Linked DNA regions of Oryzias latipes. The protein of the gene in region 2 interacts with the protein of the main gene of each other region in a biochemical or structural test. Links are inferred from orthologs where the notes say so. Each region holds a gene or a part of one and is shown on either strand. Other genes may lie near its edges.

Region 1 (6,686 bases), on a different chromosome or scaffold from region 2:
CTCAGGAACCACGCTGGTGACGTTTGACGTTCTGGGATAGCTAGCTGAAAAACAGACGTACTCTCCTCAGCATCATCAGTCTGAGCGGATTCAAGATGGAATGTTTTGGAAGTTACTGATATACTTTCTGTAAAATCTTTACCAAAAAATGCATATGCCTTTTTTTAAGACACAATAATTTCAAATGTTGAGCAACACATGAAAAAAGAATTGATGTGACATGATCTTTCAGTAGAGAAATCTCTGCTGAAGTTTTTTTAGGAGTTGATGTTGGTCATTATCAAATAGAAAATGATACATATTTTTGTGTTTATAATTGTTTTTAAAATTTTAAGTTAATAAAAAAAATCAGCTAATTTTTTTTCTTCATTAAGATACCTGGCTGGCTTCTTAAATAAGAAAAAGGTTTTACTTTTATTTTTTTTACTCAAACATGATAATGGAAGCATCATGATGCGGGCTGGTGAGTCTGAAGAGTTGACCCAAAACCAACGCATTCAGTTCTTAACATTTTATCTTATATAGTAAAACCACAAAATCGCTGCCATAACCTCTGGAGAGTTGTGTGAAAATGCTGAAGTGACCCAGAATTGAACTGAACAATTAAGGATCTCTGATTATGGCCAGGCATTCCCAATCCAACCCAAACGGTTCTGCCAAGAACGTCGAAATTTCCAAAAGAAAACTGAGCCAAGCTCCTACAGTCATTGCCAAAACAATGGAAAAAGAAGTCCAAAATAAAACAAGCAAACAAAAAAGAAAAAGATTTCTGAGGTGTTTGCTTTATCGTACAAAAGTAAAACTTTGATGTGTTTGAGAGCAGAGCTGGAACCCTTTGATCTGCCCGGTAACTAGCATTTACAAGACCTATGCTATCTTTTCACTCAGTGTGGCAGAGATGAGGATTCAGGGTAGTGATTAGGCTTCATTACCTACTACCGTCTCTCTTTTGCCCATCCAAATGAAGAAACTAATGAACTCACACACTCCAGTCACCACTTCTGTCTTCCCTTTTTTTTCCTTGTTGCTCTTTTGGTTTGGAGCAAATTGAATTGTGCTGAATTAAGAGCAGCAATTGACCTGAGACTCCAAACGGGAGGGCAAGAAAGAAACGGACTAAGATGCAGTCATAGAAGGGGGAGCAGTTTGAGAGACACACCCACCAGTGATGCCATACAAACTGTCAGCTACTGAGCTCCATCCTTCATTTCCAAAAAAAGAGTAATAATAAATTATATTCAAAAAAGTCTATTTTTGAATTAGAGACATTTGCCGCATTAGCGTATTCACAGTACCTTGCTTGCAACACCTAAAAAAACAGACTGACAGCCCTAAACTAACATTAGTGTGACAATGTCAACTCCCACCTTCCTAGTAACACGTAAAAAAAACAGTTTGACGCTGCTACATGTTAGCTACGGTAGTTTATTCACAATAACACCCAGCCTTGCTTGCAACAGCACAACCAGAAATAATCCATATATAAGGCGCTCTGGATTATACGGCACACTGTCAATTATTGAAAAAAATTCAGACTTTTAAGGGCATTTTATTGTGCGGAAAATACCGTAGTAAATTTTGGCTTTTTAATTGGAAAAATCACAAAAAAATGAGATCAAACAGTTTTTAATGTTATAACAAAGATCAAACTTGTAGAAACAAAATGAAAACATTTCTTTTAAAGAAAAAAATCAAAGACAAATTCAAAACAATGTGAAAAATGTCTAAAAACCAAATAGCTAGCGGCGGCGCGCGCGAGTGCAGCGGCTCTCAGCTCTCCAGCATGGCTTTTTGTTCTATTGTTTGTATTTTATTTACTTTTGGATTTTTGCTACGCCGATTTTAAATACCACCGCCAGTAAAAGTTATGTAGCTTGTACATATGTATATTTTCAGTTAAACAGAATTTTATAATTCTTTAGAAGATTACCTATTTTTATTGTTTAAGCAGCTGGAGAGCACCGGAAATTTCGTTGTCACAAGTTTCTTGTGTAACAATGACAATAAAGGCTTTCCGATTCTGATTCTGATTCTGACTCTGATTCAATGTTCTAAGGATTTATTCAAAGGGTGTCACAATGATGTTTCAGAAATCTAGTTATGTTTGTTTTAAACCAAAAATGTCAAAGCTAAAAACTTTAATAAACCTTCATGTTCAATTTGGAATGAAACTGTACTAATGTGTGGCTGGGCATCATTCCTATATTATTCTACACAGTTGATGTGATTGTTCTTAGACTACTTAGGGCTAAAATGGATGCAAGCTTCTCCTGCAGCTCAGATTGGACCCTTTTAGGTAACTCCAGAAAACTCTCCAGCAAAGTCTACCACTTAAGGTCAAATGGCTTCCTGTGGTCATAGCTTTTCACGCTGGATGTTTGACATGACACGATAGCCGAGTGTTGAATTTTAATGAACCCCACATCTGACTTTTTCTTTCTTTCTTTTTGATGTCTTTTGCAGAGTTCTGACAGAGCTGGTGTCAAAGATGAGGGACATGCAGATGGACAAGACAGAACTGGGGTGCCTTCGAGCCATTGTTCTTTTCAACCCAGGTAACTGTGTTCGTATGGAAGATTTGTATATAGTCCCAGTCTGATCATCGCTAAAAGCTTTCCCAGTGGTTTTTTCATTATGATATTGTCATTTTTAGCCAAAATCCAAAAAACTGTTGCTTTCTAGGACATAGTTTCTGCAGAGCGATAGTAGTTGGACAGTAGTAGTTTGTCTCTGAGTTGTGGGCTGGGCTGTTAGTGCAAAGTAAGCCGTCCTCATTTCCCGTCACCCATTTGTTGAAACCCTTTCCTGCTAGCTTACAGCCCCTCACACCCCCAGCCTAACATTACCGATGCAACAAAAATGGCGAGCAAGACTAAAGATAAGAAAAATAGAAATAGGTGCAAGTTTACTCTTTTAGAGAGAAAAAAGTGGAGAACGCTACACCCTCTTTCCTCCTCCCTGAGTGATCCCAGGTGTCAAACCCACCTTTACCTCCTGTTTTTCTGCAGCTGTTGGAGTGGAGGCTCTCCTTAACTCTGCTCTTATCAAAACCCAAGACTCATTTTAGTGCCGTGAAAAAAATCTCCCTGCAAAGATTCAACCATGAATTTAGAAAATAAGATAAACACCCTTTGAGTGAGAGCTTCGTGAGGCCTTTGCAGATATGCTTAACACCCCCTCCACACACACACACACACACACACACACACACACACACACACACACACGCACACCCCAATCTTCTAAACTGCACATACTGTCCAGGCCACATGCAGGCCCATTGGCCTCCGGTTCACTTTTCCATCCGGATCCTCCTTAATTAGCGGTTTGCGAGACTGGTCTGACTGGGGGAGCAGAGGGGTTGGGGTGTGGAGGAGAGGAGGTGCCAGTGAGGCTAAAAGGGCCCTCAGTCCTTCCTTTCCCACACTGGCGGATCTAGTCCAGCCATTAAGAGCAAATGTTCAATAATTGCTGGTCGATCGCACAAGGCTTTGTTCATCAGAAATGTTAATAAATGATGTGTTTGTTTTGTGAATCAAAGGCGCGTCCTTCACTGAAGCTTAAATTAGCACAGCCTTAATTGAGGTAACCCAGAATGCGGTGACATATGTTCATGTAGAGCTGTGAGGTTAAAACTCAATGAGTGAGCTGTAACCCCCCCTCCCTCCCCCCAACGTTGTGGGGCACAAAAAAATAAATTCATTAAAGCTTTTATTTACCAAATAAAAAAATGAGTGTTGCAGCTGTCTTTTAGTTTTCTTTTTAATATTCACGCTTGTTTGTAGGTCATTAGTAAAAGAATATACATGACAAATAATGTAGTCATTTTGGTATTATTTTTCTAACCTAAATATATATCTGTCATGCAGTTATCCCTCTTTTAAACATATCTAAATACATTAATAATTGATGTCTTTCTTACTTTTAAAATGAGAAGCTGTACAAATTGCAAGACACTGATACTAAAACACGGTTTTTAAAAATGAGTCCTTGCAAAAAAGATGGAAACGTTTTTTCTTTTTTTAAATGTTGGTCAAACATCTTGGAGTTCAGCGGGATGGAGGATGTTTTCAGGGTTCTTACAGAATTCCCATTGAAGATCGGCATGGCTTTTTTGTAACCTCATTTTGGATTTGATTCAAATAAGAGAAGAATTGCACTACAAAGTTCCCTCGTTTATCTTGGGAGTAACGTTCTGAAATCCATGATGAAGGAATATAGATGTTTTACGGCTGTAAAACCCCTCACTATAGACTTTTCTCAGACAGACATGAACATTTTTAAAATTCTCTGCCCTGTTTAAACTCTCAAAGTTCAAACTTTCATTGAAAATAAGTCCAGTTATTGAATGAAAGCAAAGATCAGTTTGATGGAAAATGTGTGTAGATTTGGTAAGTATTCTGTACAGGAGACACTGCATGGAGGAGACTGATTGACAGGTCAACTGCGCTGTTTAAAACAAAGCATACAAAATGCTCTAAAACAATTGGGTGGGCTGCATTAATTTTTTTTTACATTTTGAAATCTTTCAATAAAATTAACAGCAAATATTGTAGATTGTGGATTTGATGGATCAATATAGATTCTCTAAGAAAAGATTCAGCCTAAGTTTTACCCACTTTGGTGACTCTTATTTCCGTTTCTGTGTCTCTGCAGACTCTAAAGGTCTTTCTAACCCTGGTGAAGTAGAAGCCTTGAGAGAGAAAGTCTACGCATCCTTAGAGGCCTACTGCAAACAAAAGTACCCTGAGCAGCCGGGCAGGTGAGATGATCCCAAACGCCACTGCAGAGGTCTCTGCGGTGGGTTGCAGGGTTTAAGAGTCTGCTACTTATTTCCTAAGAAGCCCCTTCAATCTTGAGTCACAAAAATCACTAAATATGATACTACCTCCTTTTTTTTGCAATAGAATAATCTCAAACAGATGAAAACTCAGAGTTGTTGCAGGGTCTGCGTCAATCACGGTGTCTCTGTTTTGTGTTCGTCAGGTTTGCCAAACTGTTGCTGCGGTTACCGGCGCTGCGCTCCATCGGCCTCAAGTGTCTGGAGCACTTGTTCTTCTTTAAGCTTATCGGGGACACGCCCATTGACACCTTCCTCATGGAGATGCTCGAAGCACCGCATCAAATGACATAATAACCGACAGCCCTGCTCTCTTCCTGTCCCCTTCACCCCCCTTTTTAAGTCTTCATCAAGGGACAGACATAAAGACTGTGGATGGAGACCCACCCTCTATCTCCATCCCCTCTACCGCTCTTGGATGGGTCTCAAAACCTAAACTGCATCACGCTAAAGGGTTTGTTTTATACTTTGTAAAAAAAGCTATAAATAAGAAATATATATAATGAAAATAGGTCAAATCCAAACAGCAACAAGAATGACATCAGAATGACATCAAAGGACTAGGAGGAGGACAGGTGGTGGACAAGCAGCCGTATTGAGCCTTTGTTTTCCATCTCTGCTACCAGCCTGACAAGAAAAAGCAGTAAAACCGGCAGGTATGCTCACCTGAATGATGTCACTTTTGACGAGGACAATCCTAGACTCTCCACGGGATGTTTTGACTCGGACCTTAGTGGGCCCTGGTTTTCGGGAGGAGACACACGCTCCGACCGACCGACCACTGCTGAAGGGTCAGAGGTGGTCTAACGAGACTGCAAATGCTCACAAAGCTCAGGTCTCCGCCCAGCAAATCCAACTATGTCTTACTGTATCAGCACTGTGCAAGGATGTCTGAGTAGTCCACTAACTAACCCTTAATAACTGACGGAGAATCGTCTGCAATGTACAATCCATGCGGCTCTGCATGCTGCTCCACTGGCTTTACGCTACAGCGGCAGGCACAGGGACTACTTTTGTCCGAACCGTTTTCTGTGCAGCGCATTTAGTTGTCTGAAAAGTGATCCTTAATATCGGTTCTTCTCATTTCCTGTGAACACACCAGACTGCACATTCAGAAATCCAAAAATCACCTCATATCTACCTGTACGGAAAGTTACAAGTGTATACAGGATGTTTGTTTGTTTTTAGTTTTCACTGTAACATTTACCTCTGTGTCCAAACCTTTAGCATCCCCTCTATGGGAGAAGCGCTTGTCTGCTGCAGCAGAGTCACTCTTTTGTTTGTTTGTCTTTTTGTTTGCTACTCGGCACTTAACCTGACGGCAGAGGAGACGACTTGGCACTTCTACAGACGACCCAAGTGTCATTCGATCTGAACTGCAGAGTCAGATATCTCCATGTTCTGTATAAATGTGCTAGACGCCCATGTTTTTTTACTCTGTTTTTCTCAAAACGTTGCAGCTTAAGACTATGCATGGAGTGCATTTCCAAAGATCGTCCACAGACGTATGTAAATGTGTGAGGTGGGCGTCGGCATTGTTCAAAGAGTTAAAGGTCAATCTGTTCTGGTTCTTTCACCCCAAAATGACAAGCATCTATTGAGGAATAGCTCTTTTTGGAAGAGCCTATCATTAGATTTCTTGGCAGGACTACGATGATAAAAGTACTAAAAATGGATTTCCATCTTGCACCTTAACTCATCTTAAAAAAATAAAGAGTAACAAGACAAACGGAAGCACCATTGTTTCCTCCGAAATTCACATTTCTGAGGAGCATGTGGAGCTTATTTGTGTTTTCATGAATACATAACCAGTTTTCACAACATAAACTGAAAGTGGCTCCATGAA
Region 2 (6,686 bases):
AAAAACTTAACACGGTTCTCAGTGGAATACCCAACATTCTTGACATGGGTTAGTTTAACTTCTTTACCTTTATTATGTTATGTACAATTTTCCACATGCTTTTTATTTTTCAGAGCATTTGTTAATTGAAGATGTTGGCATGTAATAGGTAACGAATAATATACTCGTACCATTGTTACATTGTTTTATTGTTAGTAGCTGGTCGCAATATATTGTCTAAAAGGTGCTACTACTTTCGGTAGTTACATGTCCTAACCATCAGATCTGGATTTGAACCACTTCTTTAGTGAGCATCTTGTCTTGTAGACGGTTTTCATTTCCAGTGATAGCATCAGAACATTTAGTTCATAGACTGGTAGAGATGCATGTATTGGACATGTCTGAGGGGTTAATCTGCCATATTTCAAACTTTGTTCTTTAGAACTACTGATGAGCAAAATGTTTGACTTTTAGGTCATTAACGTGAAAAGAGGATAAGTAAATTAAAAAAAAGTAATTAATTAAGTGCAAATTAACTATTATAAATGTATGGCAATGTCTGATATTTTTGACAACAAATATGACGTACATGCCTCCTAATTAAAAAAAAGTGTATTTTCTATTGATGTGGGTTGTTGAATGACATGATGTATGTCCATCTTGATCTGTTTTAGCTAGTCGGAGGAAGAGAAGAGACTTGTGAGTTTGGATGCTAATGATGTGGATACAATTTTCCATTTGTAGGCTCAGAAACACTGCAGCCACAGCATGTGGAGCCGTGGAACAGTGTGCGTGTTACCTTCAACATTCCTCGGGATGCTGCAGAACGACTCCGACTGCTGGCACAAAACAATCAGCAGCAGCTTCGAGACTTGGGGATTCTCTCTGTGCAGATAGAGGGTAACAATCTTTTTTATGAAAATTATATATTTTTTAATTAAACCTCAATCATAATTGTGCTGGATTTTTTTCCGTGTCATTAATTTTAGGGGAAGGTGCCATCAATGTGGCCGTGGGACCAAATAGAGGTGCAGAAGTTAGAGTGAATGGACCAATGGTTGCACCTGGTCAAATGAGAATGGACAGTGGCTTTCCAGGCCAGCCTGGACCAGGTATGGATTTGCTGAACTAACCTCCCAAATGACTTCTAAAGGCATCATTTTGACAGTATTTCCTGTGATTGTAAACAGCTGTATGTACAATTAATCTAGTTTAGTTGTTACTGATTCATGACTGTCTTCAACCCTTAATATCAAGTTGTTACAAAAGTAAAAATAAAAACTTTGTTTTTTGTGTGCTCCTTTTGACCAGGAGGGTTAAGGATGCCTAATCCATCAATGGTTCCTACTGGACCTGGCATGGTTGGTCAGAATATGTTACCAGGCAGTGGACAGATGCATCCTCGCATCCAAAGACCACCTTCACAAACAGGTTCAGGTTTAGGTTTTTATTTTTCTTAAATGAGGCACATTGATGTCTATATATATATATGATCTGTATGATGACTTGGTGATAATGTCATAAAAGTCTAGTCTTCCTTATTCCATAGATGTGATGGATCCAATGATGCCAGGTATGTCCATCCAGCAACAGCAGCAGCAGCAGCAACATTTTCAGCACCAGCAGGCTGGTCTCCATGGCTCAGTCTCTATGCCTCCTCAAGCTGCCCATCACATGCAAGCTCTGCAGGCAGGCAGACAAATCAACCCTGCTGCATTGCAGCAACTACAGCAGCAGCAAGCCCAGCAGCAAGCTCAACTCTCCCAGCTTGGACCTCGACCTCCATTCAATCCTTCGGGTCAGATGGCTGCACCTCCTAACTGGAATCAGCTGCCCTCTGGCATCTTACCACCACCAGCAGCCCAAGGAGGTCCAGCTTGGAGAAAACACCCACCTCAGCCCCAGATGGTTCAAAGGCCACCCTCCCTAGCTACTGTACAGACCCCCAGTCATCCTCCACCCCCTTATCCGTTTGGCAGCCAGCAGGCTGGGCAGGTGTTCAATGCCATGGGACAGGGACAGTTACAGCAACAACATCAACCGGGAATGGGCCAGTTTGCTGCCCCTCAGCCTAAAGGCCAACAGGCTGGACCTGGTGGTGTCACAGGACTAACTCGCCCCCCTCCACCCCTTCCACAAACTTCTGGACCACAGGGCAACCTCGCAGCTAAGTCGCCTGGATCGTCTTCATCTCCTTTTCAGCAGGGCTCTCCAGGTACTCCTCCTATGATGGCTCAGAGACCCACAACTCCACAGGGTTTTCCTCAGGGTGTTGGTTCACCAGGAAGAGCAGCCCTCAGCCAACAGGGCAACATGCAGCAAGGATTCATTGGAATGCCCCAGCATGGACAACCGGGGGGCCAAATTCACCCAGGTTAGTAACTCTGGTTAGTATTTTGTTGTTCCAATGGAAAAAAAAACAACCTGTCAAAGAAGTTCACTTTTTCTTGATCATCTTTATCCAAAATGACCATTGTAATCATCAATTCTAGGCATGGCAAAGCGTCCCATGGGTTTTCCAACATCTAACTTTGTTCAAGGTCAGGTGAGTGTTAGCACTCCAGGAGCTCCTGGTGGAGGAGCAACTCAGCAACTGCAGACCAACCAAGCAATGTCTCAAGCAGGTAAAACTTCTACAGATCTCTAAACAAAAAGAAAAATGCTTGTTTTATGATGTAGAAAGTATCTGACTTTACTTGCTGCAGGTAGTGGCTTAAATGCTGTCTGCTCAGAAACTGAGGGTGGAATTCTCATAGGGAAGTTTCGATCAACCCAGAATGGGAATTACTATCAGAATAGCTCAGACTGGTTAGAGAATTTGACATGGCATCACATTTGTATCACATTTTCACTTACTTCACTTCGTTTTCTGTGCTGTAGCACATCAAATGGTACAACACACTTCATGCAACAATTCCCATTTTGCAACATCATGTTGCACAATTGAGCATGTTGTCTACCATGTTTGATGCCTTAAATAATTACCTAGTTTGAAGCGATGCGGCAGTTGCAGCTCATTCCAATTCATTCTTAATTATGCTTTGTCAACACTTAATTTGCTATTAATAGCTTTAGCCTTCACACTGAAAGGCTCGTTCTTGTTTTTTCTTTAACTTCACTCATTTTAAAATGTTTATCTGGTATGTCAGTGTCACATTAAGTTTATTTAAGATTACAGGTTTTCTATTTAACAAAAGACACGTTAATGTTAAGCTAAACACTTGGTTCATCTAATGAGTTGGAGCAAAGTAAGAGTTCTCAACAGAAAATAGAAGAAAAAGGGGAAAACAAGGATTTTAAATCAATCGAAGAAGTCTACATTCAAAAGCTGGAATCCTAAAGCCCCACTCATATTTAGAGCCATTGTAAAAGTGTTCCCAGTGATATTTTAATTACGATTTTCAAAAAACCTGTGTTGTTTTCTTGAACATAGTGTCTGCAGAGCAGCACTAGTTAATTAGAAGTTTGCCTCAGAGTTGTGGGTGGGACTGTTGGTGCAGAGCAAACGCCCTCCCACTTCCCGTCACCCATCTGTTTACCACGCTCTCCCACTACCTTACAGCCCCTTACATCCCTAACCTGACAGTACTTGTGCAACAAAAATGACGAGCAATATTGGAGCCATCCAGCCGTACAGTTTAGAGCCAGATGCCAGTTCAGACAAGGAAAATGAAGACGTACATGGATCTGTGGTTTATAAGTAGATGCATCAGAATGGAGAGGAGCAGGGAACTTGTGACCTGCCAATAGGAGCTTCTATGTCACAATAAGCTCGTAATCAAACAGCAGTTTTTTGGTCTGCTCCTCATTTACAACAGTTTGAAAAAAGATACCCAGAAATGCATTTTTGAGATTAATTTTCTTTTTTATATATGGCCTCCATCATGAGAAAAAGGTCAAAAGCAAATGCATTAAACACCAAAAACACAATATTTTATTTGAGTAAGTCTTTAACAAATGAATTGAAGCTTGTCTCTGTGTGTCACTTGGGATCCATTTTTCTTAAATACACCAGTCTTCAATAATTATAGTAGTCTATTTTTTTCTTTTATTAGCAAACCCCTTTTTATTAGCTTTATATGTTTTTGTTGAGAACTATTTATAATTTCAGAATTAACACCATGATATATGCAACCATTTATGCTATCCTTTGTATTTTACATCAGGGCCTCAACCATCACCTTCCACTCCCAGCTCAATGCAGGGACCACCTCATGTTCAACCCAATGCCATGGGTGTGCAAAGCAGCATGGCAGGTCCAACCCCATGCACAACTGCTGGACCTAGTATGGGTCAGCAGCAACCTGGCCTCCAGACCCAGATGATGGGCCTCCAGCATCAGGCCCAGCCTGTGTCCTCCTCCCCCAGCCAGATGGTACAAGGTCAAGGTGGAGGTCAGACTGTCCTTTCAAGGCCTATCAATCAAGGCCCGAGAGGTGGAATGACCCCACCTAAGCAAATGATGCCACAGCAAGGCCAGGGGGTGATGCATGGGCAGGGTCAGATGGTTGGAGGCCAGGGGCACCAGGCCATGCTCCTGCAACAGCAGCAGCAAAACTTGATGATGGAACAAATGGTTGCCAACCAGATGCAAGGAAACAAGCAGGCATTCGGAGGCAAGATTCCAGCTGGGGTTATGCCGGGCCAGATGATGCGAGGCCCATCCGCAAATATTCCTGGTAACATGGGGCAGTTCCAGGGACAGGTGCCCCCACAGCAGATGACTCCACAGCAACAACAACAGATGGCTCAACTACAACAGCAACAGTTACAGCAACAACAGCACCAGTTGCAACAACATCAGCTACAACAACAGCAACACCATCAGCAGATCAGTCAACAACAACAGCCACAGCAGGCTCCCATCCCTAATAATCCTAATCAAACTATGGGTCTGCATGGGCAGCAGATGAGACTACCTGCTGGCCATCATCTCATCCAACAGCAGCTACAACAGCAGCAGCAGCTGCAGCAGCAACAACAGCAGAAACAGCAACAGGCAATGTTGCAACAACAGCAACAAGCAGCTCAGCAACACCAACATACCATTGGGGACCCAAATAGTGGCACAGGTGACTTGGGAGTCCAGCAAATGGTCCCAGACATGCAGGCGCAGCAGCAGCAAGGCATGATGGGTGGCCCTCAGCATATGCAGATGGGAAATGGCCACTTTGCTGGTCATGGCATGAATTTCAACTCTCAGTTCTCAGGTCAGATGCCAATTGGAGGGGCATGTGGACAGCAAGGTAGTTTTCCCGTCAATAAAGATGTTACACTGACTAGCCCACTGCTGGTCAACCTGCTGCAAAGTGACATATCTGCCAGCCAGTTTGGACCAGGAGGAAAGCAAGGTGCTGGTGGAGGAAATCCAGCTAAACCTAAAAAGAAGAAACCACCACGCAAGAAAAAACCCAAAGAGGGGGATGGACAACAACAAGTAGAGGGGCTTGGGTAAAACATGTTTTCTTCTTTCATCAGGTCCTGTGTCAACAGCATATTCTTTATTTAACCAAATAAACTTTTATTTTATCCTTATAGAGGTCTTGATGCTGCTGCTGGTATGGAAGATTCTGAATTGCCTAATCTGGGTGTGGACCAAGGTTTGGGTTTGGACAACGCTGGCCAGAAGCTTCCTGATTTTGCTAATAGACCTCCAGGTAGTCAAACTAACAAAACACTAAACTTAGTTCATTTCCTTGTTTTGTTGTTAAAACAACCAATATACTAAAATGCAAATGCTCTTTTGTTCTAAAAATTGTACATTTATCATAATTTATATCACTGATCTGTTTTATACTTCCAAGGGTTCCCTGGTCAACCTGGAGAGCAGAGGGTACTGCAACAAGCCCCCATGCAGTTTATACAACAACAACAGCAGCAGCAACAACAACAACAACAACAACAGATGCAGCACATGCAAATACAGCATCAAATTGCACAACAACAGCAGCAATTGCAACAACAACAGCAGCAAATGCAACAGCAACAACAACAACAGCAGCAGCAACAACAACAACAACAGCAGCAGCAGCAAATACAGCAACAACAATTGCAGCAACAGCAGCCGATGATGCAGATGCAGGGGCTCCAGAATGCTCAAGGATCACAGATGATGACAGGGCCACAAGCATCAGGTCAAGGTCAACCCCAGATGCACCCGCATCAGCTGCAGCAGCAGCAGCAATCTCAGCAGCCACACCTACAACAGCAGGTAGACTTTTGATTTGGTATTTTATCCTAGATTGTTTCTTTTAATTCAGGACGCACTTTAACCACCCGACTAAACTTTAATCTTAATTTCTTATCAAGCAACAGCAGCAGATGATGCTGATAAAAATGCAACAGGAGCAATCAAAAAATCGCATGCCCATCTCCACTGGAGGACAGCTTCCTCCTCGAGGAATGGGCAATCCTGCAGACATTCAAAGGCATCCCAGTTCACAGCAAAGCAGCATGCCTGTAATGATAAGCCTGCAAGGTCATGGCAGTGTACCACCATCCCCTGATAAACCCAGAGGGATGCCTCTGATGGTAAACCCACAGGTAAGGGGTGATTTTTAGTAGTACCATCATTTTCATATTCCCATCCCATCCTCTGATTCTCTTGGAGGAAATTTTAACGCAGATTATATTTCCTTAAATTTCTAGCTTGCAGGGGCTGCACGAAGAATGTCCCACCCTGATTTAGGGCCGGGGGCTCAAAGCTC

Evidence for each region. The genes of interacting proteins can lie anywhere in the genome.
Region 1: the proteins of ncoa6 (region 2) and rxra form a complex in vitro, tested with the Homo sapiens proteins (5 studies listed by BioGRID). The link is inferred for Oryzias latipes from reciprocal best matches to the Homo sapiens genes NCOA6 and RXRA.

Annotation. Positions count from the first base shown.
Region 1 is NC_019870.2:23,012,055-23,018,740, forward strand, and holds part of rxra (retinoic acid receptor RXR-alpha), read left to right. Parts: intron 1-2,463; coding exon 2,464-2,555; intron 2,556-4,656; coding exon 4,657-4,762; intron 4,763-4,986; coding exon 4,987-5,134; 3' UTR 5,135-6,686. UniProt on the Homo sapiens protein: Receptor for retinoic acid that acts as a transcription factor.
Region 2 is NC_019865.2:14,776,176-14,782,861, forward strand, and holds part of ncoa6 (nuclear receptor coactivator 6), read left to right. Parts: coding exon 1-48; intron 49-723; coding exon 724-879; intron 880-968; coding exon 969-1,091; intron 1,092-1,290; coding exon 1,291-1,410; intron 1,411-1,528; coding exon 1,529-2,353; intron 2,354-2,471; coding exon 2,472-2,603; intron 2,604-4,145; coding exon 4,146-5,430; intron 5,431-5,517; coding exon 5,518-5,636; intron 5,637-5,783; coding exon 5,784-6,190; intron 6,191-6,288; coding exon 6,289-6,522; intron 6,523-6,627; coding exon 6,628-6,686. UniProt on the Homo sapiens protein: Nuclear receptor coactivator that directly binds nuclear receptors and stimulates the transcriptional activities in a hormone-dependent fashion. Coactivates expression in an agonist- and AF2-dependent manner.